Linked DNA regions of Drosophila melanogaster. The protein of the gene in region 1 interacts with the protein of each later gene in a pairwise test. Each region holds a gene or a part of one and is shown on either strand. Other genes may lie near its edges. The genes, in order: CG17139 and CG7069.

Region 1 (16,102 bases):
GTGCTGAAAGGGAAATTTCACCAAGAGGAAAACACCAGTTGCTTTGTTTTGTGGCGTTTATTGTTAAAAGCGGGATAATAGCACTCCCATTTCATGCAATCGGGATGCCATTGTTTGCATCCATAGATAGGGGAGCTTTTGAAATCTTGAATTCTTTTCAATAGTTTTCCAACATTCAAGAAAATTAAAAATATATTAACAGTTAAGCTTAGCCTAAAAATATACCTATAATCCTAGCCTTTTATATAATTACTGTTTAATATAATAGTTAGGATTCTAATCACACTCCCTCTAATAAAAATAAAAAAAAAAACACTGATTACAGATTCTTAGCCAATTACTTATGTGGTACCCCGAAGTGTCCAACTTTTTGTATACAATCTGCTTTAGTAAAGCGAATTAAAATTGGAAGAGCTTACAAATGTCGTGCATATTTGATGACTTGTTGAATGCCTTCACGGATGTTTAGTGGCGACGGGGAAGACCAGGTTGAATTTGCCATACTCCAAAACGTTGAGTTTGAACTTCCGATAATTTTGCATGCAGGCTGGATCTCGTTGCAGTTGTAGTTCGTGGTGGTGGTGGATTTGATGGTTGTATATATATACAGGTATACAATAGAGAGACAGAACATTAGTATAATCCTTTTCAATAATTTAAATAAGACAACAATCATTAAGCCTAAGCTTAAAACTAGTTTAAAAATGAAGTGATCATACGGTGTATAAATGAGTAAAATAACGACAAAAAAACAAAAATGCTTTCTCTGCCCAAAGCCTACGGGCTTTTCGGGTTCCGTGATCGCTTCTGATTTTGTTTATCTGCATGTGTTAGTTTTGATAAAGTTCATATTTAGTAAGGTTGTTATTCAAGAGGGTCGCAACCCTATTTGGAATTGATTCACTTAATTCTTGACCTGAATAATATATTCATTGAAAGGTCACGCACTTAAGGTTTCAGGTTGCTGTTGAATTCAGACGAGTTTTGATTTGCGGATCTTGCTCGATTTTGGTGGTATACAAAAAAAGTATACAAAGATGGTTGAGTTTTTAAAGAGGTAATGAAGACCAACGCTGTCACAAATTTTCAGCACACCGCGCCAAATGATAAGGTCCAATGTTAAAATTATTTCAGACGGCATACATTTTTCCACCTTTGTTAATCCTGGAAAAAGGTATTCGTCGCTGAATCCATGTTGAATTTAATCCATATGAATCCTTCCATGTAATGTCATTTCCAGAGTATGGCATCATCGATAATAATGTACGCCTTCTAAAATCCAAGGCTACTCCAGAGCAAATCTTCAACATTGTTTTCAATGTTTCCTGTGATGCATTCTATATCATTTTTCGTTGAATTATTTTCCATCTAAAAACTTTAAACCCTACGAAGAACAGTTGGTCCTAAATAAGCGAAGACTTCAGCCTAAGAATGGGAGTAATTCAAGTCCTAACTTTGTAACGAAAGGGAATCGCGATCTAGAGAAATATATACACAAATTTTTAAACAGGGCCAAGAGAGTTGCATCCGCAGTCCGAAAAAGGACACTAACATCCGAAAAGCTCGGAAATCAGGTACAAAATCGAATAGGGCTTCATGCCAGCTAGTCTGCTCTATATGAAGTGTGATTCAAATAGCAATAGCAGCTGCATTTTTGCAATCAACTTGCGCACCATCGGCGGCATATGGCAAACTGAAAGTGTCGAGCCATTCCTTGCACTTTTCTGAGCTATCGAAAGCCAGAATTTTGGTAATATAGTCAACGCTAATGTTAGGACGATAACTGAAAAGAAACAAATGATTATTATTACTAATAATTAAAATTTAGTGGATATAATATACTTACGACTTAATAATGACTCGCAATGCAGCTTTGCGCTCTCTCTCCAGGAACCATTCAATCATGTGGCCGGACATAAGAGGCGCCGTCCTGTACAGGGAAAACAATTTGCAGTAGTTGCCCAGCGACCACGCAGATCGGAACTGAAGAGCGTGCGCAATGACAGGATTTTCACGTTGATCAGCCGTAATCGAACGCATGACAGTGGTGATGTCTGGAAACCATAAGCTGTGTTAATTTTAATCGAAAATATATGAAACAAAGTCAACCATACCCAGAGTATTCTTTGTGAAAATGTAGTAGAGTATGCGATAGGCGGTGAACTCGAGGGCATTGGCGTTTTTACCACCGATCTCCATGTACAGCATCTTAAGTTGCGTCTGGCACTGATTGAACTCCTCGTGGTCACCCTTCTCCATGGCAATGCGTGCGTGTGTCTCGTACACCTCAACCGTAAACTGATCACGAATACCCTGGACCTGTGAGTACATTTGTGTTAACACTATTTCATATCTTTACTCGGCGCATACTTACAGTCAAATCCTGCCTTATGGACTTAAGCTGATCACACGCGTAGTGATAATCCTGATTGGCACGCCATTTTCCTTTCACATTAACAAGCGAATGGGTGAGCACCTCGACAGGTCGCACCTCTGACGGAGACGGCGCCTTTGTAAGACGCAAAAATGACTTTTCTAGATCCCTACAAGTTCCTACAATGTGTAAATCGAGAAGATCTATACCGCTAGCCGCCTCTGTGTCTTCGTAGAAAGCTGACCGTTGGTGCTGCTGGTGTTGCTGCACCATTTTCTTCTTGTTCTTGGCCGTGGTGAGACCAAACGGTGAGCTTGCAATGGCGACGACCGATTTTTTGGCCGAGCTGGAGCCCTGCTGTGAGAATCGTGCCGCACGCTGTTGCAAGCGCGCTGTGTCATCATCAACGGCACCGCCAACAGACGACTGATTGGAGTAAAAGTGAGGTGTGTCCTTTTTTTTCATCTGTGCTGAGGCCATAGCAGCTGCGCGCTTGCCCTTCTTCATCAGCATTTTTTGCTGCTTGCGGGATAAATTCGCGGTGAGTGGTATGAAATTCAGAGATTCGTTCGAGCCCGATTTGCGAATAATCTTACGCGCCGGTGGACTGCTGGCATCGCTACTGCGGGAACACGATCGGGAGCGGGGGGATCGCGAACGGGAACGCGAACGAGAGCGCGAACGCGAGTACCGCTTCTTGCTCGAGTACTTTAACGAGTTTGAAGATGACGGCGACCTGCGAACGATATAAACATCCTGGTTTATGACACAGTTTCAATTCGATCAATAGAGATCATAAAACTCACCGCGACCGACTCCTGGAGTACTTGGACGACGAAGAGTGATGAGAACCGTAGCTGGACGAGGCCTTGTTGAACTGATTGCCCTTCTGCTTGAACTGATTCACTATACCCGTGGAACCTTTGGCAGGTGACTTATCCGCTTCGCGGTCTCTCTCTCGCTCCCTCTCCTGTTCTTGCTTCTTCTGAAAGTAGTTGCTTCGCTGCTGCTGCGGCGGTGGCACATTGCTTAGCACCACATCAATGCCGTCTCTCTCGCTGTACACCGTCGGCATGGGCTCGTTATCCCAATCGCGTGTCCACAGCTCGTTGCGATTGGCCGCCGCTATAATCTTGCCTTTCAGACATATGTCGATCTGATCCTTATCCAGATCAGTGTTGCACTTTGAATAGCAACGAGCAACATATTGGTTGAGGGAATTCGGCCAGGAGTCGCTTGAAGCCATTTGAAAACTGTTTGGCCGCTTAAAATTTGATGTTTGGGATGTAGCCTCTCCCGCTCTTTGTGCTGCCATGTGCTCCTGCTGCTGCTGCTTCTGGTGTTGGGGATTCTCTGTGGGTGCCACAATGGCCAGGGGTAATGGAGGTGGTGGTTTGCTCAAGTCCGGATTAATTGGTACACCTACATCGCTGGCGCTAATGATGGGCGGCGGTGGAGCTTGGGGTGTGGCTGGGGTTTGATTGGCAAACGGATTGCTGTATGTTGATTGCTCAAAGTTCTTGTTTTTGTTATTCCGCTTGCGCTTCTTTTTGTTGCTGTTGTTGTTATTGTACAATTGCATGACCTGTTGCTGTTGTTGATGTTGTTGTTGTTGATGCTGCTGCTGTTGTTGTTGCTGCAGGGGATTAGGAGCACCGGCCAAACGCTTTTGGTTTAAATTCAAATTAAAACGTATTCCCCCGAAATTTTTTTGCTGCTGCTGCTGCTGTTGTTGTTGTTGCTGCTGTTGTTGTTGTAATTGTTGTTGCTGTTGTTGTTGTTGTTGTTGTTTGTTTTGGCCAGGTGGCTGACCTATTTGCGGCGGAGGCGGAGGGGGCGGCCCTGAGGGCAGAGGCGGCGGTGCAGCCAACGCATTGCTGAAGCCCGGCGGCGCATTTGACGTACTGACCGTCGAGGTTACCTGCTGTTGCTGCTGCTGCTGGTAGCGTACGTAGTACTGGTAGTACTGCTGATACTGCTGCTGGTAAGCAGCATTTTGGTTGGCATACCAGGCGTAATTGCTCCACTGCTGGGCGAGCTGGGCGGGATTAGCGCTCTGCTGCTGCTGTTGCTGCATCTCCTGCAGCTGCGGAATAAGGGGCGGCGGAGCACTCATGGCATCTGACATGGTACTCCCACAATCTGCCTCTCTTGGTTCTTTGCTAATTTCTTTTTTACCTGAACTTACCTTTGGGTTTTTGCGATTTCGGCCCCTGATTTCATGACAAAGGGTACCAAAAATGGGAAAAATGTGCGCATTAGTCTGTGTGTATGGGTGTGTGTGTGAATGTTGGCATGTGACGCCATTTTTATTTCTTACCTACTTCTTGGTCACCGAGAACTGGCACTTTTTGCTTCGATTTGCTCGTTTGAAACGCCGTTTTCTCCAAAATAACTTATTAAAAAGGTGGCGCAGTGCAAAAATATATCTGCATACGCACGAAAACACTCGGAATACGCTATTTTTTGCCTTATTTTCTCACGATATATAAACACGTCCGAACAGTTGAACTATTTTTTCGTATAAAGAAAAGGAGACAGAATAATCGATGACTAGATATGTCGCAGTGCTAGTGTGGCCGTAGCTTGCTGAGCCGAAAATCCATTCCTATAATTTAAAAGATGCGCGCCATAATAGCGGAGGAATTGTGGAATATGGAACATGTGAACGTTTTCTATTTATTTATTTCTTCGTTTTTTGGACGTGGATTTAAAAAAATAAAAAATCTAAGTATCTATGTACGATTTAAGGATTTACGATGTAATTAAAAATGGAATTGTCGTTAATTTCAAATCGATTTTTAATATTAAGACTGTTGTAGAACAATAAAACATTAAAATATAAGGTACAATACGCTGCAGTATTCAGATTCCATTAATTAAAAATAAGTTTTACTTAGTTTACTTACGGAAACCACCAAAATCATGATCAGATAAGTTAGAAAAACACTTTGTATACAAATTATTTATTTATATTAATCATGTATAGTAAAATCATAGTACATAGTAAACCATTCTTTTCAACAGTGAAAACCCCAGGAAACGCCAATCCTATGGGCTCCACCAATGGGATCTACTCCATCGAAGGCCAAGTGATAGCCAACATCGATGTTCTCCCCAATCTTTGATTGGTAGACGAACCCCATTCTGGAGTCCTCCCGCAGCTTGGCCTTCACCATGGTGCCATTCTGGAAGTCGTACTGAACCCCAATGGCAAACTGTTTCACATTTTCCGAACTGTAGAGATTCGTCTTGATGGCAAAGGCCCAGGCTTCGCCGATCCTTTGGAAGATCGAGCCTCGAAGATCCTCGAAATTCTCGCTACAAGTAAAATATAATGGGATGTTGGCTATATTAAATAAGCTATTGGACAACCTACAGTTTTAGACCCACTTCGGTCCTCCCATTATTGTAGCCCAGGCACAGGGCGTGCTTATCGAATCCCTTTTCGTCAAAGTTGTACTCCGTTCGATATCCCAGCACCCAATTCTCTACAGGCGCCACCAGGACATAGCCCAGAAATAGGGGTTCGTTGTACAGAGGCACCACCAGTTCCACCTTCACGGGATCGCGCTCCAACCCGCACTTCAGCTTCGTTTGAAAGCTCACTCTTCAGGGTTTAATTTGCATAGTTTTTAATGCTGTTAAGAAAATTCTGAAAAAATGGAGGACACTCACTCGTCTTTTGTGCCAATTGTTGACTTGAGCAGTCCATACAATCGACTGCCAAAGTTCATGCCGCGCACAGCGATCTCCGAGAGAAGATCATTGTTGGTGAACCAGCCGAGGGACGTGCTGTAGTTGCCCACTTCCTTGAACACCTCCATGCCGCCAAATACGTTCTTCATGGTGGGATAGCCCTCGCCGAAGGTGTTCAGATAGAAGTCATTATCGGTTCGCGTGCTGCAGTGCATCTGCCATGCGCCGATCTTGAAGCCATTGATGAGGCAATCCTTCGCCAAGGCGCCCACATGGAAGTAGGTGGGCATTTCGCCCTCTGACGTTGGCGAGGGTATTATCTCCACTTCGACTTCCTTGGGTGGCTTTTCGGGCTCTTCCTGCTTAGGTGGCTCCTGCTTGGAGGCATCCTGCTTAGTTTTCTTCTGTTTGCTTGGCTCCTGCTTAGGTGGCTCCGGCTGCTCCTTATTCGCATCACTGGCCACTGTAGTGGGCCGTGCGCGCATTTTGTTCCGGCGAAACAAGTTGCGCAGCCGTTGCTTCATATTTGTCATTTTGAAAATACTTTAAAAAAATAGCAAAAATAAATAGGTATAAATTTAAAATTTTGATTAAACGATCTGACACCGGAAACATAAACTTCTGATTTGTTTTTCAGTTTCTCCCCATCATGACATAGAAATGAATACAAACGTATGTTTGCTAGCCATCCTACATATTGAAGTACCATGATGAGCCGAACTTGTGCTTCCCATTGATGGGATCACTTCCTTCGAAGCCAACGTGGAACAGAACTTCGATGTCTTCGCGAAGTTTTTTCTGAAAGATAAGCCCGATGCGGGAATCTCCACGCACTTTGGCCTTCAGCATGCTTCCAGGTTCCCACTCGTACTGACCTCCAATGGAGACACTCTTGGCACTCACGTTTCCATACAGGTTGGCCTTCAAAGCCACTGCCCACTTTTCACCAATGCGCTGGAATATTGATCCTCGCAGCGCCTTGAAATTCTCACTGAAATATATAAATGTAGTTTTTTGCGGGTTGGAGGATGTTGGTTGTAACCTACAATTTCAGTCCGACTTCTGTGACATCGTTACTATATCCTCCGCAAAAAGCATGCATATTGAAGTCCCTATCCTCCACATTGAACACCGTGCGGTAGCCCAAGAGGTAATTCTTGACAGGCTGCATCATAATGTAGCCCATCAATAAGGGTTCCTTATAGATGGGAATATACATTTCCACTTTGCCAGGATTGCGATCGAATCCACACTTCAGCTTGCATTGAAACTTGCGTCTGTAAAGAATAATATGTACTTACGAAAGATAATCTCTTGAATCCCTTCCAGCAAATTCGAATCCCACTTACCCTTCAGGGTAGCTGACCATAGACTTCAATACAGTGGACCATGTGCCGCCCAGCCCATCACCATGCACTCCAAGATCCGATAGCAAGTCTCCATCCGACAACCAGGCGAGGGATGCATGAAAGTTTCCACTCTCCTTGTACGCCTCCAGTCCGCCGTAGACAGTGTTCCATGTTGGATAACCCTCGCCGAAGCTGCTCAAATAGAAATCCTTTTCGGTTTTCGAGGTGCACTGCAGCTTCCAGCGGCCAATGGTGTAGCCGTGGATGAGGCACATCTTGGCCAGCAGACCAACGTGGAAATAGCTGGGCATCTCACCCTCCATCGGTGGTGGCGGCAGCATCTCCACCTTGTTCTCCTCCTTATCTTCTTCTGCACTCCGGTTGTCCTGGACATTGCCACCACCTTCATCGTGGGGTTCCAGGTAATCCGATGCAGCCCGCTTTCGCTTGTTCCTTCTGAACAAGTTCCGTATCCGTTCTCTCATGGGCATTGTGCCATATAAAAAGTACAATAATTAAAAGAAAAATTTAATTAAACACACTTGAAATTTTGGAGTTCTTTGGAAATTGGATAATAATATCGAAGCAGCTGTGATCAAAATTAACAAGATTATTTACTTTTAATTTGTAATATTTTACAGCCTGTATTTAAGCTGCTTAATTAATTACTCAGATTGTTATATTGCCATTATGAAGAACAAAATATATTTGTCATTTGAATAAAGATAAACTTAAAAATAAATTTAGAAATTGAAATCGTTAAGTGATTGGCAGTCATTTTAGCACTGGAGGGCAATTCCCACGCCGAACCGATGGTTTCCGTCCTTAAAGTTGTTGCAATCCAGCACGGCGGATATGGAGGCGGTGATGCCGTCGCGCAGTTTCTGTTCATAGCCCAGGCCCAGCTCCACCAGGTTGTTGACCTTGGCGCGTACGAGGGCATCCTCCTCCAAGTGGTAGATCATGCCCAGATTGACGACCACATCTCCGCCCTGCTGTTCACCCTCGGCAGCTTCGCCGCCGCCGGCTCCCTTGGTTACCTCGATACCGGCATCGATCTTCTCGCTCGCCTTGTAGAACAGCGAGGCCAACCAGGTGTCGCCGTTCTTCCTGCAAATTGATTAAAAGACATAAGATAAAGTCTTCCCACATCTCGTCACACGGGGAACTTACAGCTCGCCATGGAGGGTGGCAGTTTCATTTGTCCAACCAAGGGCCACCTTCCAGCCCTTGAGTTCGGTGTTGCCAACGTCAAATTCGGTGCCCACGCCGCCGAGGAACTCCTTGTGGCCCACAACCAGCGAACAGTTGAGTATCGGCTCCGAGTTCAGTCCAATGTCGGCCAGGAAGTTAAAGTTGTCCTGGGCATAGCCCATCTTGAACTTGCCATCCGCCTCACTGTTGACCCGAGATGTTTATATAATTAAAGGATGCTACCTAAACGATCCCCAAAGGAATACGCACTTTGATCCCGGCTGAAACTTGGCCTCGACGGCCAACATCAGGCCCTGTGCCAACTTATCCCGGTGCATAATCTCACCGAAGAGCCAGTTCTCCGTGTTCCATCGCTCGGTTAGGGTCAGGCCTTGGTCCTCGATCTTGTACTTGCTCTGAAGCGAGCCGGTCACCTTGCTGTTGTCCTGGCTGGCGAAGCCGGTGGTGAAGAACTCAATCCCCGAATTGGTCAGGGTCTTGCAGTCGATCTGCCAGATGCCCGGATGGTAGCCGCGCTTGAAGAGATCGCGGGCCAGCTTGCCCAGATCTGGGTATGTCGGTGTTTTGGCGGCCATTACGGGCTGTATGAATAGGTGGTATGGTATATATGGCCCGACTAATTTCGAAATTTTTTGTCTACTTTTCAACAGCCTCGATTAGCCGAAAATTTATGTCTAACGCTGCCTGATCAGTATCGAGTTTTATACACGCTGGAGACCTGTGAACTAAAACGCACGGAGTCCTGTGCCCAACCGAAAAAGTTAAGTTTTTCAAGCACAAAGAACTTGGGATCAGTATAAGGTACTTATCTTATTATACAGTTTTTTCTTTCAAGCTTAAATCCTTAAATTAAGCTAACCATTCCCAAGCCTTCCACCACCAACGCTGCAATCAAGATAATTTATTTCTTCTCGATTTATTTCTCAGGTAAATGCACAACGAAAAGGTAAAGATTGTTATTAAGGATGTGATTTTGGTGTTATGTGTGTCCTAGTTTCGCCGCAGGATTTTGCAGGCAATCCGTAAAGCCTTGAGAACTGAAAAAAATGCAATGCCTTTTGAGCCATAATATTCCGTCTTTTCCATTTTGTTTTTTTTTTTCGTTTAATAGGTAAATGTATTTTTACTGCACTTTTGTCAACAACAATTTCGCTAATATTCAATGCACTAATCAAAGCTACATCCAACGACGACGGACTGACCTGACCGACCCATCGATTGCACCACCCATCCATCCCCCTGCATCGTTTGTTTGGCAGTGTCTCTCCTGCAGATTCGCGTGGCTGGGGCAGGGAATGGGCGGATGTGGTGATGGCCGGCTGACAACTAATCCAATCCAATCGAATCGCTAAGATGTGCAGATTCTCTTTATATTTGACTGTGTGTTGTTTGTTTTTAAAGAATATCGTATCTTTTATTTTGTTTGATCTTGTTGTTGTTTCTGCACTTGTCTGGCTGCTGTTATTGTTGTTGTTGTTGTTGTTGGGCGTGTGGGGATGTTAGACAACGTTCAAGGATTTCACGACTAGCGGAAAACCACGGACTTAGGCCTCCAGCTCCAGACCCACACCGATCTTGTGGCCGCCGGCATTGAAGTTCTTGCCATCGACCAGCGTGGACAGGGTCAGGGTGACTCCGTCGCGCAACTTCTGCTGGTAGCCCAGACCCACCTGGCTGGCGTTGTTCACCTTAGCGCGCACGCTGGCATCATCATCCAGCTGATACTTGGCGCCGATGGCGAACTTGGTGTTGCTGGTGCCGCTGGCCCACGACAGCTGTACACCCACATCCAGCTTGTCCGAAGTGCGTTGGAAGATCGAGCCGCTGAACTCCTGGCCATCGTTGCTAAACACCGGACAAGGCAATCATTAGTTTGCATTGATTTCATTTGCCATGCGTGGCAATTGCAATACTTACACAGCTGTGTGCAGAACAAAGTCCTTGGTGGTGTAGCCAAGGGCAAAGTTGTTGGTGGTCAGCTTGGACTGTTGTGTGTCAAATGCGGTCTGGTAGCCGGCCAACCATCCCTGGTAGCCAAGCACGGCAGAGGCATTGATCAAGGGGCCCTTCAGATCAATGTTCACATCCGAATCGGCCTTGACGTTCTCATGGCCGTAGGCAACCTTGAACTTGCCGTTCTTGTTTCTGACGATTTTTAATTAAATATGCAATATTAATTATTCTGCAGTGAACATATATGTAATAACATGTGATCCTTACCCAGACTGAGGAGCAAAGTTGCCCTCCAGGGACAGCTTCAGACCCTCGAGGAGCTGATCCTGGACAGCAACCTCGGTGAACAGCGTGTTGTCTGTGTTCCACTTCTCGGTGAGGGTCAGGCCGTAGTCCTTGACCTTGTACTTGGTCTCCAGGGAGCCGAAGACCTTTCCAGACTCCTGGTTGGAGTGTCCGGCTGTGTTGAACTCAATGCCCGACGAGGTCTTAGTCTTCAGATCGAGCTTCCACAGGCCAAAGTTGTAGCCTTTGCTGAAGATGTCGCGAGCCTGTTTGCCCAAATCGCTGTATGATGGAGGAGCCATCTGGAATGGATTGAAATGGAATGCATTAAATCGCACCTTCAATTAGTTGGTGAATAATCGATAATCATGACGATGATACTTATTGCGAAATCATTTCACTCGCCAGGTCATTAATTGCGTTTAGCGAACGATAAGTTTAATCTTATCAGCAACATAATGATTATTACTTTTTGCTCGACTTGATTTCAAAATGTTCTATCGGCCGCAAATGAAAAGTGAAAACTAAAAGACGCCAAAAAACAGCATCAACATGTCCCAAGAATTTCGAGGGCTTTTTCCCCATTTTCACTTTGGCTAAATGTCAATTTTGTGCGGCGAAAATAAAGAAATCAATTTAGATTAGTGTTCAAGGCGGCCACATGCAAAGAATCACCAACTGAAGCAGCGAAAATTCTGAGTGACTGAGGAGGGGGTCAATGCACGTCTGGGCAAAATAAAGTGGCGCAAAAAATAGAAGCGAAGATAGAAAACAAATAGTGACTAAGTCTATTTTACTCCAAGAAATTAAGGGTTTTCTATACCAATGCAAAACCATTTAAATCAAAATTTATTTTTCAAATATTTTTATAGGTTTTTTAAACTAAAATTTTAATAAAAATACTGAGATTTTCCCTATTTATCTGGCCACAGGTTTGCCTCTCTCTATGTTTACGTTCCGTTCTTGCTGGCATTAATTGCTGGTCAGTTCAGTCCCGTTAGGCTAGCGATCATTGACTCAGAAGCTAACTGCACATTTGCAACGTCTGCTGTGGTCACTGCTTCGCTGTTTCTATTTGCGTGACGTCAGGAATGCGACTCACAGTCGCGGTAGGAATATTAGTCGCGGATAAATAAATTTCTATCCGATATTGAGCATAAAAAAAATCAAACAAAAATAACCCAAAACATCTAATTGAAATTATTATATAGATATAACAATATAAATATTTCATGTTGTGTTCGGGGGGATTGGTGGGGGGAAACTCAAGGCAATCAAGGCAGAAAATTATGAAAAGCAGCGGCCAGCAGACAAAAATCTTTATGGCCGGCAGCCAAACGTTAAATGGGATGGGCTCTTATTGTTCCGGAAGTCAGGTGATATAACCTGGTCACTAGATGCTGAAAATAATACTATCAGGTGGATGTCCCGGTGAAAATGAATCAGCATCTCGTTGACGATGACCTTGACAAGCAGATTATAAAGGGGGTGGTTGGGTGGATGTGCAGCTCATTTTTTCGACAGTTGCATAACAGCAGGGAAATCGATGAGGGAAAGTGGAAAGCTAAGTGAATAGCTGCCCGAAAAGGTGGTCTATTGATTTTCCAGGTGACGTCACTGCGAAAATACCACCCACAATCGCGAAGTGCACCCACCTCCTCACATGACCACAAACAAACAAAACGACGATAAAGAACGGTAAAGAGTGAAATCGAAAATGTTTATTGAGCGAGCTGCACGCTGGTGGATGGCAACATGACGATAACGAACGGAATTGATGCGACATGCGTTACGTAACGGAAATTCGCCAGGCACTTTTCCATCGATCTCTCTGCTTCTTTGCCCCCTTTTTTCGCCGGCAGCTGCTGCCAATGAACTGCGAAGGCATTGGTGTGCGTGGACTGTTCATGTGTGGATGTGTGTGTGACAGCTAACCGGCTTAATATCCCCTTTAAATTTCGGATTTATCAATTAATTATTGCGTGATTTGGTGATAAGAAGCTCGCCCATCGTCATCCAACAAAAAAGTGCTCAGCCCTTTTGCTTTTCGTTCATGCGCGTGTCTACTTGCAATTTTTTCATTTCGAGGTTATGAAATCACTGGCACCGAAAATCCTGATTTTCCTTCTACCCATAGGGGTATCCATCACATTTCACTGAATTTTGAGGGGGTTTACTCCTGAGCTACTTACTTTTGATGAGTTTTAGTTTGGTTAGAGTGTAATGCGAAACGCAGAGGAACAGAGACACCACGACAAACGTACACCAAAAAATTTTGTAATTCTGTGCCTTAGTGTTACCAACCCTAAAAATTCGTCCAATAATTATTCCCTAAAACAAGCCGCAGATATACTATCTGGTAACGCTGCGTCACTCTTAATGGCAATGGTCACACTTTTTGTAACGGAAATTTGAAAACTAACGGTTACTTAAAATAATTATTGAAATTAGAATTCAATCATTCTATTAAGAAATTCGTTATCTTAAGAACAATTAACTTACATCAAAGTGTTTTTTTTTTACATAAAAGGGTTTCCTGCAAACGAAAACTTTAAAGTTGTGGACAAGTAAATGGGCTTTAAAAAAGTTATAATCCAAAGCAATCAAAATGCAATAAATATATTACAACTTTATTGATTGACACCAATGAAGTGTGTGCGATGCTCTTTTTATTTTTAGACGAATCTGCGTGCAGGGCCGCCAATCGACCGCATAATCCCATTCGGATGGGCCAAAAGCGAGACCAGTGCATTTGCCGTGCGGCGACAGAATGTTGAAGGCCCGTCTGCAGGAGGACGCCGTGCTGGGACGCTGCTTGGCCACCTCTAGCTCCGTGGAGCGGGGCGAGCTGGTGCTGGAGGAGCTGCCCTTCGCACGCGGACCGAAGCGCGACAGCGGAATCGTGTGCCTGGGCTGCTACCAGTTCCTGCAGTTCGGAGAGGACGGCGATTCGCTGGACCGCTGCGAACTCTGCGATTGGCCGCTGTGCGGATCGTGCGCCGACGACGAAGACGTCACGGAGCACCGCGGAGAGTGCCAGGTCTTCTCCGCCGCACGTGTCACTTTCGCCGGGAATGTGAGCGATGATGGCGTCTGCCCGCAGTTGGATTGCATAACCATATTGAGGTTAGTTCGCGGGCGCTCCAGCGGGGCGGGGGTGATGGTGCTGGGTACATCCGTACAGCAGGGGCTACTGGGTGCTACTAGGGGAACCTGGGCGGTCTGTCCGAATATTAGTTTTGGCAGCAGCGGCCCATTTCTCGCAGTTCGCAGGCTAGCCGGCATATACAGATTCTCATGGCGACTCTACGTCAAAGAAGGCGGACGGATGGATTAACAAGTCTGTGAAAGGGACAGTGGAGCAAATCGCACAGAAAATAAAAAATAAATAGCTAAATTTAAAGTGCATGAAAGTAAGGAGAAAATTATGGCATGAAACAAGCCATATTTGTACATATTATTATGACAGAATAATTGGTATATGATAGTTGCGGCGCGTTATGATCAATGTACCATCATGTTTTTATATATTTCGTAGCAAAACTGAACTGTAAGCACTGTGAATTATTATTTAAATAATGTTAAGCACATGTTTAAATAGATCGGTGCTTAGTACTTAGAAATAGAACTAACAAAGCCAAGCAACTTAAAAGTTACAAGCAACTTAAAAGTTACAAGCAACTTAAAAGTTACAACCAGTAAATTATTTAATTTATGAAAATGTAAGGTATTTTAGTTATTATAGAAATTGAACAATGTTTTCTCAAGACAATTTGTTCAAAACTAAAATTTCTCACCTAGGACCTCGCATGCCCACTGTGCCCAGCAATTTTGATGCTTTATGTCGGAGCAGGCAGAAATGTAGTCATGTAGTGGGGAGGAGGCATCATCTGTGGGGTGTGCCCATGACATGAGATCTGAGATCTGAGTGCGGCCAGCCGGCATCAGTCAGCGAAATGACATCGCCGCCAACGCTGTCGGTGAATAGGACAGCGGTTCAGTGGAGTCCGGTCTGCGGACGCTATCTGGTGGCCAAGGGAGCGATCCGTGGCCACGGTCTGCTGATCGAGGAGCTGCCCTTTGCCGTCGGGCCCAAGTGCAATGGACCGGTGGTGTGCCTGGGTTGCTACGAACCCAACCCAGATCCGGAGGAGGAGCTGTGTAGCGAATGTGGCTGGCCGCTGTGCGTGGAGTGCGCCCAACAAGCGGATAACGCCCATTTCCGCCTGGAGTGCAGCCAGCTGAAGGATGCTCGGGCACGATTCTTCCGCCTGCCCAGCGGCAGCAGGCACTGTCCGCAATTGGACTGTATTATGCCGCTCAGGTGAAGCCCAGCGGGTGGAACAAAAATAGACCACCAGGCACCAGGCAAACTGATAGCGTCACTATTTTATCCGCTCAAGATGAAAGTTATATACAAAAGGATTCATTAACAATTAAAAAAGAGAAAGATTTTTAATTTAATGTAGCTAATTATAATCAATAGGTTACTTGTTGTGCTTCATATGATTGTCATTTGGAATACCCTTTTAAACTTTCTACTTTCAGAGTTCTGTTGGCCAAGGAGGCGAATCCGGAGCGATGGGACAACGAGGTGGCACCCATGGAGCACCACAAGGAGGAGCGCCAAAGGGACGCGGATGTCTGGCATGCGGATCGCGTTAATATCGCTCAGTATTTGCGCGGTCCCTGCCAACTGGCCAACCGATTCAGCGAGGAGCTGATCATGCAGGTGGTGGGTGTGCTGGAGGTGAACGCCTTCGAGGCGCGCAGCCCGAAGGGCTATCCACTGAGGTGCCTCTTTCCCTATACCGGCATTCTGGCCCACAACTGCGTGCCCAACACATCCAGGAGCATCTATCCCAGCGAGGGATACAAGTGAGTTGTAAATAGATTTGTAAATTCAGTTCTCTAGTTCAAGATGTCTAGAATTACATTTCCGCTGTTGCACATCTAAAATAAGTCCTCCTATATTTGTTTCTCTTCCAAAGAATCCGACTGCGCGCCATGGTGGACTTGGAGGAGGGTCAGCCCCTGCACCACAGCTACACCTACACATTGGATGGCACTGCCCAGAGACAGAAGCACCTGAAGCAGGGCAAGTTCTTCACCTGCCAATGCGAACGCTGTCTGGATCCCACCGAATTGGGAACGCACTTCTCCAGCCTGAAGTGTGGTCAGTGCGCCGAGGGATTCCAAGTGCCCAGGCAGCCAACAGGTGAGCGAA
Region 2 (15,907 bases), on another chromosome or scaffold:
AAAGCAAAACAAAAACAAACGGTTCCGGGCGAATGGCTACCGCTGCTAAGAAGAAGCTAAAAAATAACAAAAATCACAAACCAATTTTAAAAATATAAGTTTGTTCTATTAAAAATAATACTTTACGCAACTGAATAAATGAGGATAAATAAGGAGCATATGTTTTAGGCTTTATTACAAATTGCTTTAAATAAAATTTAAAGCTTTCCGAAGACCCCAAATGTTATATCGTGAATCTGGTATGTATATACCAAATGGTATTTATTTTAAAAACGAGTGGCTTTTTTAGGCTCATTGGTGCCAACTGTTTTTTCGAACAGATCGCCGGACGCACTGTTTCTGATTGGAGTGTTCGCTGCCTGTGCATTTAAATTGAATTAAAATAATTCCAAAACAGGAAGAGCAAATACATCTTTCCGCGAGTTCACCTTTACTGTCAAAAACAGGTAATTATCAGATCTTCTTGATACGACCTCAAGCTAAACATCATTCCATTATAATACGCTAGAAATTTTGCTAACGAAATTGGCGGGGGCAAGACATTTGTTTTTGCTGTTGTTGATGATGCAAGCAATTTCTCCACATTATGTAGAATTGCGTTTGCCGCCTCACAAAACACATACACACAAGCACGGCTGCGAATTCAATTCGCACACCCATACAATCTCAAAAGAACCTCGTTAGCGAAATGTGTAAAGGTGAAATAGAAGTCATTCCATGCGGAGCGCGCCACAAGTAAAATAACCTACACCATCGCAATCACACCCTATTAAACATGCCATCGGAAATAATGCAGCAATAATAATCTTGAACCGCTGTAAACTTCCACTATCGCAATTGTTTAATTGCTCTGTGACGACGACGCTTTCAGCGATGATGAGTAATTTTGCATAAATTTGCTCTGTGCCGGATTGTCTGAATTATATTTGAAATTTTGTTGCTGTTTCGGCGTCTCAGTGATAAGCATTTGTTGTTGCAGACCCGAGCTTCAAAATGTTAACGGCGCTAACGTCCTTTATCCACAAGTTCAAGGTTAAATAGTACGGCACATAGTACTCATTACATATTGACTGAAGCCTGGAAAAGCACTTTCACTTTCAGAACTTTTCTCGTGCGTTTTCCGGCGACAAAAGCTGCAGGCCGGCGAGCTTTACTTGCACGGTTTCTGCGCGTGTCACTCACGATGAGCGAAAGAGAGAGCGGAAGATAAAAGGAAAGTAGATGCTCACGCACTTGCATAATGGCAGTGCGAGCGAGACGAAGCTGTTTTCTGTGGAGGAGATTAGGTTGTCAAGGTCAGCACAGTGGAATTCTAGGTGGAAGTGGGACAGTTGGACAGTGGGCTCTTTTCCGCGTTGCTTTTTTTCTGTATTGCCAGCTGATAAGCGCCGTCTAACAGCTGATGATCGGTTTTTTGTTTACCACGCACACACATACTGACATCACGTGTCCATATAATCATATATACACATACTTCTGTACAATGCAAATTTATATGCAAAAATTAATAATCGTAATGGATCGTTGAACCTTCTGTTCTATCCGATTGCCGGCCAGCCTAGCAACGGAGCTTTGCGCCAGTTAACTTCGGAGCTTCCTTTTTGGATAAACTTTTCGCATCCCCTTACGCGAAGGGAGTTAGGGTATGTTGGCACAATAGCATATCTTGATCCTGCTAAACACTTTACTTATACTTAAATATCGAATGATAATTTGAGCCTCTATCTTTTCCATTTGATAATATCTTTATTAATTTTTATATGCAGTATTGTAAGATTAAGGTTATATTTCACTCGGAATTATATTGGGAATAGCGGTAAGGCCACTTGGTCGACTGAGCAGCTGGCAGTCCCTGGTCGAGCATACCCTTGAATATACCCTTCTTGCTCGCTCACCAATGTTGTCTCTTTAGGGGTGGCCTGTTGCGTCCGCCTCTTGCCTCTTGGGCCCAAACTCTCTCTCCTCTGCGTTTATGCTCTCTTTGCTGTCGGGCTACCGACATTCTGAGCGCTTTTTCTGCGGCTAGGAAAATTTCCGCTTGCCAAAAAATCTGTGTGGCAGTCGAACTTTTTGTCTCGTCCTCGCCGCGTCCGATTTTCCATATATCCCGATTTTCGTCTCAAACTTGGAAGATATATTGCCAAAATATTGCATTCGGCTAGCCGCTGCGTTGTGTGTGTTGTTGTGCGTGGAGTTGCGTGTGCAGTTGCAAGAAGATATAGTCGTCTATATCGTCAGACCGATCTCGATCCCAAGTGCGATTCCCGTTGGTTACATACTACCCGTTCGGTAGGCAACAAAATGGTGAACGTAACCATCTACGATGAGGCACCGCAGCTGAAGGTAGGCCAATGTCACGGTAATGGAAGCCCCCAGAGTTGGTCCATAAAGATATTCATAATCGCCATAATCAGTTGGCTGGCGAGTTGGCCCGATATCAGAGTCATTGGGGAGGAAAATGTGGGAAAAGACAATTATGCAACTGCAGCTGAGAAAATTCTGTCGGTCGCGGTCGGCAGAACTGACCTTCGGCGGTGCAGATGTGCAGCGCTGCCGGTGTCGGCTTCGCTGCACACTTTTCTTCCGCCTGCTGCTTTCTCTCTGCCACTCTCTCTTCCGCTCTGCCTTTCTCAGGTCCTCTCTACGGGGGACACCCCTAACCACCCACGCCCATCCACTCAAGCACTTCAAGTACACGCACTTTGTTTACATCAGCGAATTCTGCAGCGACAGCTTTGCGTTTTTCAAAACATAACATGCACAGTGCGAATAAATATTTTGATAATTTAAGCAATCGTAAGAGTTAACAAATAGTATTTAACGCAACAGCATCATTTAATATTGGTAATCGATTATAACATTTTATATGTCAAGTTTTATCAATGGCTTATTTACACATGCTACTAAGTACCATCAGAATGATAAAATACTGTTAATATATAACGTTATCATTTTAATTAGGATTATTAGATTATTTAAAATCATTACCTTTATATGTAAATAGCTCTATTTTATCTGTCAGTTCACAAATATTTCAATCATTCCTTTTGGTCATGAAAAATGATTGGTGCGGCGAGCATTTGGGCTTAAATCGCCGTATTTGGCCCGTTTGGTTCTATTTATAAGCCGGTGGTAAACATTTAATTTGGTCGATAAAAACTGTATCGATTTATATTCGTTGATATGAAGAAGGGTTATCATGAGTTTTGCACGCATTCGCCACGTTTATGTTGGGGTCCTAAATGTGTTTCGCATTGCATGACTTCACCAGGGCATGATTTTAATATCATAAAACTAGTTGGTTTTTTTATTTTTTGCTAGAACTTGGTAGTTTTTAAAACGCGTAGGGTTTCTTGTTGCTAGGAAGAGACTTCTGATTATTAGCGTAAATTGGAAATAAATGCTTAAAATCAATAAACACGACTTTAACCTGTTTTATTGCAAAAGTTGGCAATCAGCGTGTTGATTTCTAAAAATAAAGAATCAATTCGCGCTGTTTATAAATATGAAGAGAAATGAAAACAAACAGAATTAAGTATAGTTTTCATTTTGCAGCCCAACGAAGTACCCCAAAACATGGCCGCAGGAGCTGATACCCAACTGGAGCACATGTGCCGTCTGCAGTTCGACTCGCCAGTGCCCCATGTGCGTCTGTCCGGAATCGTGTGCACCATCGGACCTGCCTCCAGCAGCGTGGAGATGCTGGAGAAGATGATGGCCACCGGCATGAACATCGCGCGCATGAACTTCTCTCACGGATCGCACGAGTACCATGCCGCCACCGTGGCCAATGTGCGCCAGGCGGTGAAGAACTACTCGGCCAAGCTGGGCTACGAACACCCCGTGGCCATTGCCCTGGACACCAAGGGGCCCGAGATCCGTACCGGTCTGATCGGAGGCAGCGGCACCGCCGAGATTGAGCTGAAGAAGGGCGAGAAGATCAAGCTGACCACCAACAAGGAATTCCTGGAGAAGGGCTCTCTGGAGATTGTGTACGTGGACTACGAGAACATTGTCAATGTGGTGAAGCCCGGCAACCGGGTGTTCGTCGATGACGGTCTGATCTCACTGATTGTCCGCGAGGTAGGCAAGGATTCCCTCACCTGCGAGGTGGAGAACGGCGGCTCTCTGGGTTCCCGCAAGGGTGTGAACCTGCCAGGCGTGCCCGTCGATCTGCCTGCCGTCTCCGAGAAGGATAAGAGCGATCTGCTGTTCGGTGTGGAGCAGGAAGTGGACATGATCTTTGCTTCGTTCATCCGCAACGCCGCTGCTTTGACCGAGATCCGTAAGGTTCTTGGCGAGAAGGGCAAGAACATCAAGATCATTTCCAAGATCGAGAACCAGCAGGGCATGCACAACCTGGACGAGATCATCGAGGCCGGTGATGGCATTATGGTGGCCCGTGGAGATCTGGGTATTGAGATTCCCGCCGAGAAGGTGTTCCTCGCCCAGAAGGCCATGATTGCCCGCTGCAACAAGGCTGGCAAGCCTGTGATCTGCGCCACTCAGATGTTGGAGTCAATGGTGAAGAAGCCACGTCCCACTCGCGCTGAGATCTCTGATGTGGCCAACGCTGTGCTCGATGGTGCTGATTGCGTCATGTTGTCTGGTGAGACCGCCAAGGGCGAGTACCCGCTGGAGTGCGTCCTGACCATGGCCAAGACCTGCAAGGAGGCCGAGGCTGCCCTCTGGCACCAGAACCTCTTTAACGACTTGGTTCGCGGCGCTGGTACCATCGATGCCTCTCACGCGGCTGCCATCGCTGCCGTTGAGGCTGCCACCAAGGCCAAGGCCTCCGCCATCGTGGTGATCACCACCAGCGGCAAGTCGGCCTTCCAGGTGAGCAAGTACCGCCCACGCTGCCCCATCATCGCGGTCACCCGTTTCGCGCAGACCGCCCGACAGGCCCATCTCTACCGTGGACTGGTGCCACTCATCTACAAGGGTAGGTTTTTGTTTCTCCAGGTCGTTCTTTAAATTATAACTCTGGCTTGTACTTGCAGAGCCCGGTCTTGGTGACTGGCTGAAGGACGTGGACGTGCGCGTGCAGTTCGGTCTGCAGGTCGGAAAGAAGAACGGCTTCATCAAGACCGGCGATTCCGTCGTGGTGGTTACCGGCTGGAAGCAGGGCTCCGGCTTCACCAACACCATCCGCATTGTGTAAGTTTAAATTCTAGCATGTAGATATATATGTATCTGTGCAAAAATTATATCAACAAAACTAACGCAATTATCTATCATTTCAGCACCGTCGAATAAATTCTGCCGCTCAGGAAGTACCTGGATGCGTCGCAGCTGCCGCGGGCGTCGCGTTGATTACTGTTAATAACCAAGTTAATTTATTAATTACACAATATTCGGAATATTGGAAACTGCAGGAGGCTGCTGGAACCGCTGTCAGAAGCGCCGAAGGCCGGCCCGGGCCTCAAACAGACACACAAATATACTATACCATTGTTGAATAATAGAGATTTCTTCGAAAATTATAATAAAGTCATCACTGTATTTATGTACGTATGGAAAGTAATGTGCCATTTTCTCCTTATACTTGGAACCTTTGGGTATTAGGTCTGCATGTACGAGATCCACATCCAGTTCCCTATAGGCAATTGATTTTATTCGTTTTTGACAGGTAACACTACATTTTATTTTTGTTTCGGTGTATCAAAATTTATTCAAAATTCATCCATACGCAAGAATCCTTAGTCCAGGGTCCACAGTGCCCATATGTTCCACTTGCCTGTTAAACCTAAGATATCGCTGCTATGCCAGCAAATGCAAGAAAGAGAAGGTAGGACGTTGTTACGTTGGGAGTCAATCATCCGCTTATGAATTCTTTCCAGAAACCACCGAAGTTCCGACTGGACCGCGGACCATTCGCCTCCCAGTTGGATTACCAGTCGCGACTGCAGTACCAAGCACCTGCCCTGAGTATCCCCCTCAGCAGCATCATATGCACCATTGGACCCTCATCCAACAGCCCAGAAAAGCTATTGGAGCTCATCCGGGCTGGGATGCGGGTCGTGCGTATGAACTTCTCTCACGGCTCTCACGAGTATCACTGCCAGACAATACAGGCGGCTCGTAAGGCCATCGCCATGTACGTGGAGCAAACGGGTCTGCCCAGAACATTGGCAATTGCTCTGGACACCAAGGGTCCAGAGATCCGGACGGGCAAACTGGCCGGTGGCAATGATAGGGCTGAGATAGAGCTCAAGACCGGAGACAAAGTGACATTGAGCACCAAGAAGGAGATGGCAGACAAGAGTAACAAGGATAATATCTATGTGGATTATCAGAGGCTACCTCAACTGGTCAAACCAGGAAATCGGGTATTTGTAGACGACGGATTGATTGCATTGATCGTGAAGGAATCAAAGGGAGATGAAGTGATCTGTCAGGTGGAGAACGGTGGCAAGCTGGGCTCCCACAAGGGAATCAATTTGCCAGGAGTTCCGGTAGATCTTCCCAGCGTAACGGAGAAGGATAAGCAGGATCTTAAATTTGGGGCCGAGCAAAAGGTGGACATGATCTTCGCATCGTTCATACGAGACGCAAATGCTCTGAAGGAAATCCGCCAAGTACTTGGACCGGCTGGAGCGTGTATAAAGATCATCTCTAAGATTGAAAACCACCAAGGTCTGGTAAACATAGACGACATTATCCGTGAATCAGATGGCATAATGGTGGCCCGAGGTGATATGGGCATTGAGATACCCACGGAGGATGTTCCCCTAGCCCAGAAATCGATTGTGGCTAAGTGCAACAAGGTGGGCAAGCCTGTGATCTGTGCCACCCAGATGATGGAGTCGATGACGAACAAGCCGCGACCCACTCGTGCCGAAGCCTCGGATGTGGCCAACGCTATTTTCGATGGCTGCGATGCCGTAATGCTGTCCGGTGAAACGGCCAAGGGCAAGTATCCGGTGGAGTGCGTCCAGTGCATGGCCAGGATCTGTGCCAAAGTAGAAGCAGTTCTATGGTACGAAAGCCTGCAGAACAGCCTTAAAAGGGAAATCCGGACCAGTGCTGCCGACCACATTTCGGCAGTTACCACGGCGATCGCGGAGGCGGCCACGGTGGGCCAAGCCCGGGCAATTGTGGTGGCCAGTCCGTGCTCCATGGTGGCCCAAATGGTCAGTCACATGAGGCCGCCATGTCCAATTGTCATGCTCACGGGTAACGAATCCGAGGCGGCCCAGTCTCTGCTCTTTCGCGGCATCTACCCACTCCTCGTTGAGGAAATGGTTATTGGCAGCTTTAACTTTCGACGCATCATGCAGTCGGGCCTGAAGCTGATGGGCAAGATGGACATCTTGGAGCCGGGTCAGAAAGGATCGGTGGTGCTGGTTAATGCCATGTCGGCAGAAAAGATCACCTTCCGGCTGTTCACTATCCGTCAGCAGACCAAGGAAGAACGCGATCAGGATGAGCGATGCCGAAAATTGGCCCTAGAGCAGAGCTGCAAGGAGAGGGCTGAAAAGGAGGAATGCAGAAAGCTCCAGCAAGCGGAAGAATGTCAGAAGCAAAAACTGGCCAAAAAATGTAAACAGTTCGAAGAGAAGCAAAAGGTCTGCCCCAAAAAGAATGATACTCCGAAGAATGATTGTCCGAAGAAAGATTGTCCGAAGAAAGAATGTCCCAAGCAAGATGACGAAATCTCAAAGTGCAGGCAAATGCAAGAAGCGGAAGCTGAAGAAAGGAAGTGCAAAGAAGAGTTTGAACAGATGTGCAAATTAGCTGAAGAAAAAAGGAAAGAAGCTGAAAAATGCAGGAAAGCGGACGAAGAACGAAGGAAAGAGGAAGCTGAAAAGTGCAGGAAATTGGAAGAAGATAGGAAATGCAAATTGGCTGAAGAGAAGAAAAGGAATGAAGAAGAACTTAAGATAATAGAAGCAGAAGTGGCCAAACTGGAAGCTGCTGAGAAGGCCAAGCGTTTGAAGGAGGAAGAGAAAAAGAAGGAAGAACTAATGAAGTGCAAGCAACGAAATGAAGCGAAAAAAAAGAGGGAAGAGGCTGAAAGGTGCAAGAGAAAGGAAAGAGAAAGGGAGCTAGCTGAAATGGAAAACAAATGGAAACAGGTTGCGGAGAAAAGAAAGAGAAAGAAGGCAGCAGAGATGTGCAGGAAAATAGAGGATGCAAAAGAAAAAGCCGCGGCAGAATCGGCTGATAAGATTCTGAAAGCTGTGTGCGAAAAACTAAAGCAATCTCTCTCGGATCCGGACAAATCAAAAAAGGGCAAGAAATAAAGTGAAAGCTAATGGCAGATTTATATGGAACATTTTAACTTTTAATACGGTGTTACACACCGAATTCCAAATTATTATATAAAACTATTGGAATTTTTTAAATTTTCTAGTAAAACAATGTAAAGAACGCTATTGTCGAGTTATTTGACTATAGGCGCGAACGGAAAATTTTCAAATTTGGGCATATCGATAAATATTGGAAAATACACATTTGCTTATCGGTTCTTTGAAAAGTAATAATTTCATACCTGCTAACCAAATTAAACTATGTCATTATGCACGTTCACACCTCCACTGATAAGATCGAAGTCATTGTAATCATTGGACATCACCTCTAAAAGTCATATTTTATAGAGTCAACTTTTCGAAATTAATCGCCTACAATTGATTTCACCACATGATGAAGATAATGAAATATTCGATATTAATCGTATGCAAGTGATTTCACCACATGATGAGGAATGGCGAAATTCTAATTCTCCCAGCTGCTTGATGTTGACAGTATTTAAACCAAACAAAGGGTTAGTTTAGAGGGTTCTTCATCGCGAGAAAAAGGTACTACCATGTCATTGCCCACGACCAGAGCCACCACGGCCACGACCACTCACGCTGTGGTCCAGGCTGTGGAAACGTATATTCAGAACCAGAATTTGCTTGGCGAGATCGCTGAGCTGGACGACATGCTGTACGATTTGGTGTCCATGCACAAAGACAACGAGCTGGCCCTGAAGCGTGTGCTGCAGTGCATCCACAACCTGTTGCAGACGAACAGCAAGTATAACGTCCGCTTTGGCCCAAAAGTTTTTCACAAACTGGTCTCCGTGGTGATTGCCGACAGTCGTGAGGATTCGGCCAGCCGGCGTCAACTGGTGGCCAATTTACTGGTCTGCGTGCAGCTTCATATACGGAAGTTTCCGCGTATCGAAGCCAAGTTCGTGCTGCAGCAGCTCTGGTCGCTGAGTCAGAGCAATGAGCGGCAACCACATGCGGCCCAGATCCTGGTACACCTTTTCGATGATTTCGTCAACAACTTGGGAACGGAATGCGCCCAGGAACTGCTTGTGCTAACGCGGAATCTTCTACAGTCTGATGTGCGCGATGATCGACGCTCAGCGTATTTTCTTATGCACAAGCTGCAGGAGATCGACGAAGTGCTTGCCGCTCTCCAGTGCAGTGAGGTTCAGTGGAGCGCGTATGTGGGCATCATGGAGAACCTCGAGGAGCAGCAGTCCCATCTTGTGCTGCCCACTTTAAGCACCCTGCTGCCGCGCATGGGCCTGATGTCTAACAATTTGAGTGAGGATTGGCTGGATTGGCTAAGGATTCTGTGCATACGCCTCCTGGGCGACAACAACATCCTCGTGTTGCGCTGGACCCTGAAGTACTTCCTATCCCATTTTAGCCTAGAACAGATATCGCGTTTCAATCTTCTAACACAATTCCTTGCTGCTACCAATCGGACGCAATTGTACAATCCAGAGGTGCCCGATTGCCTCACTAAGCAGCAAATAACTGATTTTAGTGCACAATTCCCGGCAGAGATATTGCTGGAAGCGCTTGTCTGCGTTCCGTGGCATGCAGTTCCCCTGATCCACTGGCTTCAAGCATGGGAGCTAAAGCAGCTGCCGGTGGTTTCCAAGGAGCTGCTGTTTAAGTTGGGCGCTCGCGTTCGTTCCCTCCAAAATCCGGTTTTGCGTGGTGAAGCCATCAATTATGTGATTTTCTCCTTAAGTGTAAGTTTAACTTATATAGAAGTTTTAACAATTTTTTGACTTTAATCCCATTAAAGGCGACGATTGACAGCCTGTCATTGGGAGATTACCTCCTCTTCATGGAGTCTTTGTACAATACCATCGACCGGTATCAATCTCATTCACAACTAGCACAGAAAATAAGAAATTGCAGCAATTTAGAAAAACATATTGCTAGTTTCAACATTCGTTGCTGTGAACTTGTATCTCAAATGGACTATAAACACGATGTATTTGTTGCGTTCTTGGAGAAATTACGAACAGTTCCAAAATCCAAACATGGCTGGTGGCGACTTTTACCCATATTTCTGCATCGGGAACTGGATCATCCAGAACAGTATTTAGATTTCTATCGCTCTGTCTATGATTTAGATACATCTTTTCTTGAAAGTGGTGTGAGTCTAGAGCAGATGCAGCAGCACCTTCTTAATCGATTGGATTGCCAGACCAGAGAAGAGAAGTCCTTTGTGCTCGAGCACTCTGTGGATCTTTTCGTACAGATAAATCTTCCAACGTGGAGCAAGTTAGAAGTACTTAACCTAAATCCCCTGGAACTTTTGGATCGGGGTACTGAAGAAACATTTGCCACCTTGTCGAATATATTGTCCACGCATGATGAACAATTGGCTGACCAAAATGTATTGCCCGCCTTTATATCCCGTTTGGGAAAACTAAAGGTCAGGGAAACGTGAGTAATATATTCGCTATATTTTTGTAAGTCAAGTTATTAATTCATTGATTCCCAGACAAGCCATCCTAAAATATGCAGTGCAAAATCTTTCGTCAGAAGAGTATGAAAAGTGCGTAGTGGACGTTTTGGAGAAAAACACCTTTCTTTTGGGTACAATGGACTGTGAAGAATATATTAAGGCACCCACCTCGTTTGTTATAAAAAGAATGCTGCAGGGAGAAACCACTACTGGCGATGCACGGCAAGAGAATAAATATTTTTTTCGTGAAATTACTATATACAACGTTAATAATAACTCCGCAGCATTGAACGCGCATTTGAGCAAATCTCGGATACTGGAGCCATGGATCGTGTGCAATTTATTCAATATGCGAAGAACAGCACTGGTTTGGATATCAGCTTCATCTGTGACGATTTGCTTAGAATGAACAATGAGCTGTCCAGAAAAAAACCACGCTATTTTGCAAACTGCAAAGAGCACAGAATGAAAATGCGAATAGGCAAAGCTTTGCTCGACCTAAGCGACAGATGGAAGTGGTCGGACAACCTGTGGGAAGCCGTCTTGTGCCCTAGCGATCAGCCTAACATTAGCTTTATGTACGAGTACCTTGTCTCCAAAATGCTGCCAAGCATCGATCTATTGCTGGAGCAGTTAAAGCTACTGGCAACTCTAAAACCGAGCCAGCAAATTTCGCTTGTCTCTGTAGTCCACATATACTGCTTGACTCGCTGGGAAAGCATACAACATGAACAGCTTGTCGAAGTATTTGCCGTCCTGTTGCCTCTCACAATGGGAGCAAATTTTCAGACTCGTTTGCTGGCCCAATTGGTTTTGCATCGGATTTGTAGCGAGTGCGAGGATCGAAGGTAATGAAATTAGTATTATATACTACTTGTTGCCGAATTTTATTAATATTTTGATATTTTTAGCATTCAAATGCCAATAGCTGATGCATTGAAGAAATCCATCAAGGTTACATTGAGCGAAAAATTAACTGAGTTTCAGTGCGAAGCTCGACTTTTGTTACCAGAACTAGGCAAACAATGCCCGACATCCGTTTCGGATTGCATTCTGATGATGACGAATGCACCATTTGATGAAAACATCAGTTTTATTAGTTGTTCCTATGACTTTCGAATGAAACTAAAGCGCGCCCTTGAAACGTTTAAACGGAAACAATCGGTTTTGATACCTGAGCTTGCAACGTCCTTGGCTGCATTAAACGGAAATGTGCAGCGAAAAATGAATCCCGTCGGAGATATATATCCGGAGAGTGACTTTGTTGTTTCGAACAAAGCTAGAGATGACCACGAACTCATTGTGGTGGCCTCGCTCATAGACAAATTGCCAAATCTGGGCGGATTGGCGCGTACCTGTGAAGTTCTGGGCGTTAATACCCTAATATTGGGTTTAAAATCACAGGCGGAGAAAAGCGATTTTACAAACTTGAGGTATGCACGTCAAACATCGCGGTAGCCCTATTATATTGCTTTATATAATTATAATTATATTATTTTAGCATGACTGCTGAGAAAACTTTAAACATACTTGAAGTGAATCCAGAATCGCTTGCTGGATTTCTGCTGGAAAAGCAAATGGAGGGTTATAAAATCGTTGGCGCCGAGCAAACTGCACACAGCACAAACTTTGTTGACTTTAAGTTTCCCAAGAAAAGCATTCTTCTTTTGGGGTTCGTAATCAACATCTTGGGCGTATTTTTTGAAAACTTATTGTTCTGCATCCCTCCTCAGGCATGAAAAACATGGAATACCAGCGAACCTTATTGGATTCTTGGACTACGCCGTCGAAATTCCCCAGTATGGCTTAGTGCGCTCTCTAAATGTACATGTGGCTGGATCACTATTTATTTGGGAATATTGTAAGCAGCACTTAAATTAAATTCATAATTTGACCACCAACAAATGCCTTTAACAAATAAAGTAAATACCTAAAAATATTGTACAAATGTTACTATATAAATGTTTTGTGTTGTATATATCTTAAAAAAAATACACCCAAAATAAATTACCTATATAAACTTAATTGTACTAGCTATTAGTATTATTTCTATTTTTTTAAATGTGTTTGTTTGCCTTCGGTGAATTAATCGAAGTAAATATAATTCATTCTCTTAAAGTTTCGCGCCTTGTTATCGATAACCAGTATTTACCGATGACGCTTGCCTGAAACAGCTGATCCTATAATCACAACATCACAACAAACCCATTGTAAACAACTTCGAAAAGACGAAAATGAGCTTCTCGGAAAACACCTCCGATTCTGAATGGTAAGTCCTTGAGGCCGGAAACTCTCAAATTCTATACGAATGCTTCGCTTATAGGAAGACAGACAAAATGCTAAAGGCGCGGACTGCTAAGAAATCTTTAAAGCTGGACAAGGAGCACAGAACTCTGAAACCTAAATATAACCAGAAGTTCTGCGAAAAGTGGCTCAAGATTTTCGATCCATGGCTCCGACGGGCGGCCGAGGATCCTAACAAGCCATTCTGCCGCGCTTGCCAGTGCACCATGGACTGCAATCGATGCCACCTGGTGCGGCACGAGCGAACCACCAAGCACAAGCGCAATCTGGAGGCTCTGCTCACAAAGGGCGAAGGCGCGGCGGTCCAGGAGTTCCGGATTCGCCAGCAGCGTAGCAAGTACTATCACCAGCGTAAATTGGTAGTGATGGAGCCCTTGGCTGAGAACCACGAGTTGGAGCCGCCTTCCACTCCAGAGCCTATGCCCGTGATGGCCATTGCTGATCAAAGCCTCTGTTCTGCAGCCAGTGAGAAGGTGACAGTACCCAAACAGGAGTTCTTATCAGAGACAGAGGTCACAACAAAGATGACCGAACCCCCGTCAAGCCATGCCAATTGCAGTGACAGCTCCTCTTCTGCCTCTAAGCAGGAGGGCATAAAGTTACTAATGCAGATCCACCAGGACAAAAACGAACTCATGGAATCCTTCCGCGAGCTGATGGGAAGCCAGAGGACCCTAAGTCACACACCGCCGCCCAAGGAGAAGAATCATGTGGATCTGTTTTTCGAAAGCGTCAGTTCCAGCGTGAAAGCCCTCTCGCCAAAGTTGGTAGCGGAAGCCAAGATGCGAGTATCGCAGCTGATCTGTGAGCTCGAGCTTCGCGGCCTCAGTGAAACCAGCCAAACGGACGCACTGAATCCAAACCCTCAAGCTAATGAATCGCTCGCACTGCGCCCATCATGACAATCCCTTGTCCTTCAGCATGAATTTAGAGGCATACATTAATTTTAAATTTAAAAATAAATGTTATCGATTTTTATAAGATCAATGCAAATATACTTTATTTGTTAGATATACGAATCAAACTATTCAAAATAGGTGCGAGAAATGGTATCGGACTGTTTATCGATAGGCTAGAGGCTACTGCTACTGCCATCTCCAAAGCGCGGCTGTGTTTTCTTCCAATGTTTATTAAATTTGAAGCAGCTAATGCAATTTAAAGGCTTAAGTGACAAAATATTCATAACATAAGAATGTGGAACACTTCAAATGTGTATGATGAAACGACCTCTGAAAATGGCGACAACGAAGAGCAGAAAGCTTCATACATTAAAGAAGATCATATAGAGGTATAATTACTAAGTTGCCCTTAAATTTACAAATATTTAAACGAAATTATGCATTTGCAGACCGAGAGGAAAAGTTTGCTACTCATCAAACGGAACAACGTAGCCCTACAGAAAAGACAGCTACCCTACTCAAGGCCAACGCCGCAGAACCGCCAGGAACTTGTCGAGAGCATCGAACAAGACCGTAAAGTGCTGTCGGCGTACTTCAAAAGGTTGAGCTCCCAGCGAGATGAAGTCACTTCACCAAATGCAGCTCCACCGGCGGCTGATTCCCCTGTTCCTCAGAGAAACAGCTACGATCTTTTCTTTGAGAGCGCCTGCATCAGTGTCAAAGGCTTGCCACCCAAACTGGCGGCGGAAGCCAAGAGCCGCATCTCCCAGATAATCACCGAGTTCGAAATCCGCGCCATATCAGAAATGGAGGCCCAGCAGGAGCACAAAATGCGGGCCCAGAACAGAATGGATAATGCGTCCGGGGTTGTTTACGAGTTTCGTCCCTGCTCGTAAAGTAGGTTGGGTGTTTGCCTTTCAACTACCTTAACTCATCCTATACACTTCACATTTGGACGCCACCTAACTCTGGACTATCAAAATTCATAATAAAAATTTAAAGCATTCTACATCCAGTTAACACTTAGGCGGTCATTTGGTCGCGTTTCGGCCCTAAATTATTGTTGTTCGTTAATTTAAAGTTGGATCAATGGCCGGAAAGTTGAAAATATGCATCATTGGGGCTGAGGGCTGGTAAGTTCTTTCAATTACCAAGTCTAAAACACATTTAACTGCTTTCAAATGGCTTTTCTAGGGGCTCGGCCATTGCCGCCGTCGTGAGCAACAATGTCTTGGAGGGAGACTTCGACAGCCGGGTGCATTTATATGTCTACGATGAAATGATTCGGGACACTGCCCTATCGGAGATCATAAACACTCGTCACGAGAATGTCAAGTATCTGCCTGGGATCAAGCTGCCCAATAACCTGGTAAGGAAATTCTTGCAGTGTTTTGGTATCTGCATTATACAAAATATTTTTGTATTAGATCGCTGTAAATGATCTTTTGGAAGCTGCCCAGAACGCAGATATCTTGGTATTTTCCACCCCGCTGGAGTTCGTGCAATCCTACTGCAACATTCTGTCTGGTAATGTTAAGGAGTCGGCCTTTGCTGTTTCCATGACCAAAGGATTGTTGAGCGAGAATGGGGAGGGGATTGAGCTTGTTTCGCACGCCATTAGCGAGAGTCTGGGTATCCCGTGCTACTCTATGATGTCTGCACATAGTGCCATGGAGATGGCACAGGGAAAGCTGTGTGAGGTGACCATCGGTTGCAGCGATAATTCTCATTCCAAGCTGCTGATCTCTGCTATGCAAACCAATAACTGCAGAGTTATTTCTGTTAATGACGTTGACGGAGTAGAGCTGTGTGGAACGCTCACAGACGTCGTTGCCTTGGGAGCGGGTTTCATAGATGGTCTGCGTCTGGGTGAGAATGCACGGTTGGCAGCCATCCACTTGGGTGTCAAGGAAATTATGCGGTTCATTAAGACGTTCTTTCCTTCCTCCAAAATGTCCACATTCTATGAGAGCTGTGGCGTAACCAACGCGGTG

What was found.
Region 2: the proteins of CG17139 (region 1) and CG7069 interact in a two-hybrid assay, tested with the Drosophila melanogaster proteins (one large-scale study listed by BioGRID).

The regions. Positions count from the first base shown.
Region 1 is NT_033779.5:10,837,687-10,853,788, forward strand, and holds CG17139 (uncharacterized protein), read right to left. Parts: upstream 7,979-16,102; 5' UTR 7,914-7,978; coding exon 7,423-7,913; intron 7,351-7,422; coding exon 7,120-7,350; intron 7,065-7,119; coding exon 6,764-7,064; 3' UTR 6,607-6,763; coding exon of another isoform or gene 6,053-6,606; intron 5,985-6,052; coding exon of another isoform or gene 5,754-5,984; intron 5,696-5,753; coding exon of another isoform or gene 5,395-5,695; 3' UTR 5,328-5,394; downstream 1-5,327. Other genes in the region: CG6700 (uncharacterized protein), read right to left, coding at 1,630-1,783, 1,847-2,054, 2,115-2,319, 2,375-3,110, 3,181-4,502; CG17140 (uncharacterized protein), read right to left, coding at 5,395-5,695, 5,754-5,984, 6,053-6,606; Porin2, read right to left, coding at 8,202-8,532, 8,596-8,820, 8,887-9,212; porin, read right to left, coding at 10,182-10,482, 10,555-10,782, 10,858-11,177; SmydA-3 (SET and MYND domain containing, arthropod-specific, member 3), read left to right, coding at 14,832-15,199, 15,424-15,753, 15,867-16,093.
Region 2 is NT_033777.3:22,367,223-22,383,129, forward strand, and holds CG7069 (uncharacterized protein), read left to right. Parts: upstream 1-5,612; 5' UTR 5,613-5,791; intron 5,792-5,843; 5' UTR 5,844-6,014; coding exon 6,015-8,249; 3' UTR 8,250-8,357; downstream 8,358-15,907. Other genes in the region: PyK (pyruvate kinase), read left to right, coding at 2,302-2,343, 3,556-4,945, 5,004-5,160, 5,247-5,259; CG18596 (uncharacterized protein), read left to right, coding at 8,813-9,982, 10,039-10,688, 10,747-10,932, 10,995-11,558, 11,622-12,143, 12,212-12,382, 12,444-12,591; CG34149 (uncharacterized protein), read left to right, coding at 12,945-12,979, 13,034-13,916; CG43342 (uncharacterized protein), read left to right, coding at 14,207-14,302, 14,363-14,809; Gpdh3 (Glycerol-3-phosphate dehydrogenase 3), read left to right, coding at 15,003-15,046, 15,108-15,282, 15,341-15,907.